2 linked regions of the Kluyveromyces lactis genome follow. The protein of the gene in region 1 interacts with the protein of each later gene in a biochemical or structural test. Links are inferred from orthologs where the notes say so. Each region holds a gene or a part of one and is shown on either strand. Other genes may lie near its edges. The genes, in order: SSM4 and UBC6.

Region 1 (4,268 bases):
GAATGGTGGAGACCACAACTACGAAGATAAGCATGCGGGGAATTTTCCAACTTGCCGTATTTGTATGCTGGAAGGAACGTCCGATAATCCGTTGTTCCATCCATGCAAGTGCAAAGGCTCCATCAAATATATTCATCAATTATGTTTGATCGAATGGCTACAGTCAAAACATGTCGATGTTACAAAACCTGGTGCAGGGATGGTATGTTCGATTTGTAATCATCCAATCGCGTTCCAAACTTTGTATGATGAATCAATGCCAGAGAAGATCCCACTTCTACTTCTTCTGAAACATAGCGTTTTCAAAATCTTTGGCAAATTAAATCACTATTTCAAATTCACATTGATTGCGTTCCTTTTCTTCATTGGAATTCCCCTGTCCTGGAATATCTGGGGGAAGCTATATACGGCTACTGTGGATGATTTTTCATTTCCTTCAAATAACAAATGGTATATCAATTTGATTTATGGCTTTGAAAGAAACATACCAAAAAATCCAACAACTACGGATATTTTATATCAACTAGTGATAAATTACAGATTTTCGTTGTTACAAATTCTGATGGTTTTGATCGTGCATGCTATCGCATATTTACAATATGATATGGTAGTCAGAGAGCCAATTTTCAATAAGATGATCTTGCATAAGATTGGACCAAGATTTTCAAAACAAGAGCTGGCCATGCAGTCATTAAGAGAAAGATTTCCAAATATGGATCCAAATGATATAAGCATGCTCATAAATGCCCTCAATAGACAACGACAAGACGATCCAAATGAAGATGATACTTCAGAAGACGAACAAGAACAGAACAATTTCATCGTAAACGAAAATAATGATGAGCCTCAGCTTGCCAACTAACTATAATCCCCCATTTAAATATTTACGATATTGATAATCTTCATATTGAAACATTGCATCAGCCTTCACTCCAGTTCGAAATAAACTTCTATATACAATATAATTCCCTCGTTGTCCCATCAAATCATTCACTTGCTTTAGTAAAACATGCTAGCCCATTAGATTCTCAAAGATGAATTTGGTATTACCCGGCTTATAATGGAAATTGAAATTTGAAGAAGGAAATTTCAACATGGGCGCAGACAATCAGTATATACATCGTCGACTGATCTCGTTTCACAACTAAGTACAACAGGTTAACAATATTTAATCTTTGCTACAATTGTATAGCTGTTGAAGTTGAATAATTATATCATAGAAACTGAATCTTCAACTTGAGTTTTCCGCATTAGATCCCTGCATTACTCTTTTCTTCTGATCACAATATCATATTTCTTCTGCAACATATTCATATCATTACCAATTAGCTGAGTTATTAATCGACTGTACTTTTAATTCACAATCCATTATGGAAAGACACTTTGCACAAAGAGAACTCGATGGGCGGTTGGATGCTCAACTCGGACGACCTCAGCCTGTTGAAGGAGAAGTACAAGAAGATGGAATAAATGCTCAACCAGCGGTTGTACTAGAGAATGAAGATGGTCAACCTACGGCTATCTTGAATTTAAATCTTGATTACAAATATTTACCGAGCTACTTTTCCTTAGTCTTTTCTGTCATTGGTGGATATCTTTTCATTTCATACGCTTTAGCCACACTTGTCGGATATCTGTTGAATTTCATTTATTTTAGAGTTGTGATTATAATGCTGAATGGAGTAATAGTGTCAGCAGAGAGGTTAAATATCCCAGAATACAATCAAAAGCTTATAGAAACTTTTTCTTTGGTATCCTACGTTGAAAATTGGATTAATGGGACAGTTTTAATGCCAATAGTATCGTACTATCAGGGATACATGAAAGGCACAGCAAAACATACGATGCTGGTACGAATGTTGGCGCCAGCCAGTACATATGCGACTTTCATAGTTCTTTGTTGCTGTATACCAGAACTGTTATCTAGAGGGCATTCCAAGAAGCTACCTCTAAAGAATTCTTTGAAAAGAACGATTTTCAAGTTTTCCTATATCATCAAGTGCACATTGAAAGTGCTAGGGTTGTTTACACTTGAACTTGCCGGATTTCCGATTTTAGCGGGGTTTTTGATTGATGTGTCACTGATCTCACCGCTATTATTACCACAGAGCAGCTTGACTTTCGTACCGAGTTTTTGTTCCTTTTGGCCGCCTATGACATTTATTATTTATTGGGCGATTGGTACTGTTTATATGTATCATTTTGCTCAATATGTCGGCATGGTAAGACAATATATTATCAGACCGGGTGTTCTTTTCTTCATAAGATCACCAGATGATCCTAATATTAAGCTATTACAGGATTCTTTGATATACCCAATGAAACTTCAACTCTCCAGACTTGCATTGTCGATGGCAATCTATACAGCATTCATTTTAGTAGGTTTTGGATTTCATACGAGACTTTTGTTTCCTTACATTTTACATTCGGAACTTTTACCTATGAAGCATGGATTGTCAACTCTCATAAAACCAAATTCTATGTTTTCTATTGCAGTCATTGCTGGAACGTATCTCATTCTCTCGAAGAATAGAGTTATTGATGCTTATGTTAGACAATATTGGGTCTTTGTATTCAATATATGCTGCAGAAAACTAAGACTTTCCTCTTTCATCTTAGGAAAAGATTCACCAACTGAGAGAGGACATGTTATTTATAGGAACTTTTACTATAAATGGTTCGTCCCAAACAAGGCAAAACTGTCCAACCTAGAATTATACTCTCATCCAAAATCGCTCGATGAAACCTATACTCTTTTCAAAACTATTCCTGATGTTCACGCATATTTTGTCCCCGATGGCACCATGATGCGCGTACCTGCGAGCGACATAATATCAAAAAAATATGCACAATTGTTGTTCGTCCCAGTTACTAAGGATGACAAACTTCTAAAGCCATTGGATATCGAAAAAATCAAAGAAAGACAGAAACGAAATGCCGGAGAATTTGGCTACCTAGAAAAACAGCCCACGGAATTTGATGAATATAAGGTAGTTTATGTCCCTCCGCATTTTACTTTCACTTATTCGCTGTTAATTGTCTTCATATGGATCTTTGCTTCCCTTTTGTTTACTGCTGTGTTATTAATCTCAAATTTTGCTGGGCTTCCCATTATCACTGGATTGCAATTATTGTTGAATGCGGTTATCCCCCCAGCAATGAAATTTCAAAATGAACTCTATGAAAGTGTAAAACCATTAAATCTTCTTTCCGTTTCTTCTGGTATGATACTTTTGTCTCTCGCTTTGTCATCCTACCACGCACATCTATTAAATAATATCCATCTAAATGACAGAATATTGGAGGTTAATGCCGAACACAATGGGGATGTTCCAAATAACGGTCCAAACGACGATAATCATCAGCATATAGTTCACAATGATGATAATATTCCCGAAAATGATGAAAATCCAGTAGCCAATGAATTTAGAGTACCGGAAATTGCTGAAGGTGATGTTTGGAACTTGATCAAAGGCTTTGTAACAATGGTGTATCCAGTCTTTACATTCTACTTTATGCCAATCATTTTCAAGTTGAATATCAATTATCATTCGGTCTTCATATTCACCTACTTCAAAGATTTCTACTGGAAAGGCGACGTTCTCGAAAACACAAGCCCTGATATATCGTTTGTTCCATTCCTTTCGAACCTCGCATCAAAATCAGAATACAGCGGCTATTCAGCTTACTCATTAATAGCTGCTCTATTGTTTTGTCAAGTAGCAGCAGTGGCGTACATCGCGGTACAGTGCAGTTTGAAGCGGAATAAAACATTAGGATTCAGAAGATTACTCATTAGGGTCACGGATATATGCTTTGTGTACCTCGTTGCAATGATTGCGGTACCTTTTGCTCTGCAATATAGTTTTTCTATGTTTGAATTCCTTACCCACAAACAAGTTTACACCTCTTCATGGGCACCATTTGTTTATTTCATTTTCATACAGCCTTCTGTCTCGGCAGATCATTCCCTTATGACTACATTTCAAAAGGCATTCTACTACGTTGATGTAGTGACGATTTCCTCGGCGTTCCTAACTGTGAGCTCAATTTTATCCAAGTCGCTTTACAATTCTTTATCTCAAAGTGTGAGAGACGAAGTGTATGCAAGAGGAAGGATACTAAAAAACTTTGAAGAATAGTTTGATCAGTCAAGATGTCTTTATAGATTTATTAGCGAAATTTTTTTATTCAATGAATTATTTTATCTAGTCTTACCATTAAAATTTATTACTTACGACTGGGAAGTAAAATGATGGAAAACAGGA
Region 2 (2,926 bases), on another chromosome or scaffold:
GACTTCCCTGTAACATCACCCACAAGCACCATACGAGAAACCTCGTTAGCCTTTTGTCTTTCCTTATGGATTAACGCGAAGTTCAAATCTAGCTTATCTGCCAGAGAAGCAACTCTCTTAGCACCGCCGGCATCAGGCGATACAAGGATCGCATTACCGATGTCAGTTTTATGTTGAATATATTTTAGAACACTTGGTTCGGCGTAAAGATTATCCACAGGAATATGGAAGAAACCTTGAATTTGAGAAGCATGTAGGTCCATAGTGATGACGTGATCACATCCAGCAGTTTCCAACATCTGTGCTACTAATTTCGCTGTGATTGGAGCACGAGATTTATCCTTTTTATCCTGTCTTGCATATGGAAAATTCGGAATCACGGCAGTGATTCTTCTAGCAGAAGCTGTTCTGCATGCATGAATTATAATCAATAATTCCATCAAGAAATCGTTAATCTCTTGCTCCCCTGTACCAGTTTGAATAATGTACACGTCCTCATCACGTATACTCTCCCCGATAGTGACAGAAGTTTCCTGATTAGAGTACTGGTAAACTCCGATGTTGGACAAGCGCAACCCAAGGGTTCTAGCAATATTCTGAGCTAGCTCGGGATGAGAGTTACCAGCCAATAATTTGATGCTATTGGTACTCATTCTTTTACTCGTTTCCATACAGTATGTATATGGTAGATATTACGTTCCAAAAAACCGAAACCAGAGCACCAGATGCAACCAAATATGGAAATTGGATATGGCAACAGCAACTGTCTAAACGATATAGTTGATTATTTCGGACTTTGGTCCTTATCTACAAGTTAATTACTTTCTTGATGTGATTTTCGACTCATTCAAATTTGTATCTTTTCATGATAAAAAACTCTGTTTAAAGCTTTTCATTCTTCCATTAGATATTCCGTACATAATACTATAAGGTGACATGACATAATGATATTTGGCAGAAACAAAGACTAGACAGCAGTAGTTGGCAGCAAATACTGTCATTTCAGCGAACATAGTAAATTAGGTCGTAATACTTTCAGCTGTTAGGCTTTTCCTCGTGGTGAGTACCCCAGATTTTCCCCTTTTTATAGAGAATCCACTGACATTTGAATCGAATTTTTTATGTATTTAAGAAACTTTTATTTAACTTTAAGGTTTTTTGTATCTTCTGCCAAAATGAGAGAAAGAATGCTTTTGTATTGCAATGTTGAAGGATCTAGGAAGGTCAAGAACAGTATATTGTCCGCTGCGAAAGACTTACACAAGTGTTTCCTGTTTTGAAGTTCCAATCTATCGCTCGTTACCATCCCAGTATCTCATATTTGCGTGTTAAAAGGTACGATGGCAAGTATACAGGCTAACAAAAGGTTGACTAAGGAATACAAGAACATTGTTAACAACCCTCCTCCATTCATTATTGCAGCACCACATGAAGATAACATATTAGAATGGCATTACGTGATTACCGGTCCACCTAGCACTCCGTATGAGAATGGTCAATATCATGGAACGTTAACTTTCCCTTCAGACTACCCATTTAATCCACCGGCGATTCGCATGATTACGCCTAACGGCAGATTCAAGGAAAATACTAGACTATGTCTTTCGATGAGTGATTATCATCCAGAGGCGTGGAACCCAGCATGGTCTGTAGTGACTATATTGAATGGCCTTTTAAGTTTCATGACAGGTGATGAACAGACAACGGGGTCGGTGTCAACCTCTGATAAGGATAAAAGGACTCTGGCTAAGAAATCGAAACATTTTAATACTTATAGCAATTTCAAATTCAAGAATATGTTCCCTGATTTAAGAGAGTCGAATATTAAGGACATAGAGAGGGAGGCTGCTTTGGAAGCGGAATCCAAAGGAGCACAACAAGAGGAAAATAAAGCACAGAAACTAGCCACGGAGAAAGCAACTTCACTAGACGACATTTCGGATCCTGAGGATCGAGTAAGAATTCAAGAGCTTATAAAGGCCGAGAAGGATAAGAAAGATCAGGATAAAAATCCTGGCGAGAATAGCAACATCAAATCGCTGCTTTGTCTGATCTTGGCTATTGCGATTTTTTTCGTCGGTTTAATAATGAAATGAGTTCATCAAATATGTTAGCATCTTCTAGGCTCTAAGTGTTGTACAGTATAGTATTATTGATATTATGTTTCCAACTATGGCCACAACAGCGGTTCATATGATCTCGTCACCTGAGATTTCAACAATTTAAGACGGCGTTACATAAAAAATATATAAATAGTCAATTCATAAGAGACAATTAGAACAAAAAAACATACAAAATTAAAAATATCACAATGATTATAAGCCGTAGCCATATCATTGGTCATTTTTGTCGTTCAACATCTTTTCATAAATTCATTTCGCAAGATATTAGCACATATTCATAAGTGCAGCTTAAAGTTCAAAACTTCTCTACCTTTAAAACAACTTTACCATGTGCACGGCCTGTCTGCAGATAGGAAAATGCCTTTTGATGTTCTTTCCAATCATATACCCTATCTACAGGAATAAACTTGACAACTTCACTTTCTATTAGCTCATGACATTTTTTTGGCCATTCATTTGTCGCTAATTTGGCATTTGGATCAAAATAAAACATTTGATAATCGAAAGACCATAGCACCTGTCCGAACAGCTTTCTAATATTAGAACTTGCAGTACCCCATGAATTAAAAGTATCTTTCTTGTAATTCGATTTATTATCGCCAACGGTTGTGATGTAAGTAGCATCTTTGGACAAAATGGAAGAAGAGTGACCGATAATGTCATACCCTCCAATAAAGTCAAGAACTAAATTGAAGCTACCCTGGCCAAATGGTTGAGTTATAAAATTTCCAGTTTCATTGTTATATTCAACCAATTCATTGCTTGCCACTAGATCGCTTAATGGTTTGTAGATTTTACCGTTC

What was found.
Region 2: the proteins of SSM4 (region 1) and UBC6 form a complex in vitro, tested with the Saccharomyces cerevisiae proteins (4 studies listed by BioGRID, with this or other methods). The link is inferred for Kluyveromyces lactis from reciprocal best matches to the Saccharomyces cerevisiae genes SSM4 and UBC6.

Annotation. Positions count from the first base shown.
Region 1 is NC_006042.1:2,566,164-2,570,431, reverse strand, and holds SSM4 (E3 ubiquitin-protein ligase SSM4), read left to right. Parts: upstream 1-1,370; coding exon 1,371-4,142; downstream 4,143-4,268. Other genes in the region: KLLA0_F27709g (uncharacterized protein), read left to right, coding at 1-862. UniProt on the Saccharomyces cerevisiae protein: E3 ubiquitin-protein ligase which accepts ubiquitin specifically from endoplasmic reticulum-associated UBC6 and UBC7 E2 ligases, and transfers it to substrates promoting their degradation.
Region 2 is NC_006041.1:1,813,278-1,816,203, forward strand, and holds UBC6 (E2 ubiquitin-conjugating protein UBC6), read left to right. Parts: upstream 1-1,340; coding exon 1,341-2,096; downstream 2,097-2,926. Other genes in the region: KLLA0_E20373g (ribose-phosphate diphosphokinase), read right to left, coding at 1-671; KLLA0_E20417g (uncharacterized protein), read right to left, coding at 2,419-2,926. UniProt on the Saccharomyces cerevisiae protein: Catalyzes the covalent attachment of ubiquitin to other proteins. Functions in degradation of misfolded or regulated proteins localized in the endoplasmic reticulum (ER) lumen or membrane via the ubiquitin-proteasome system.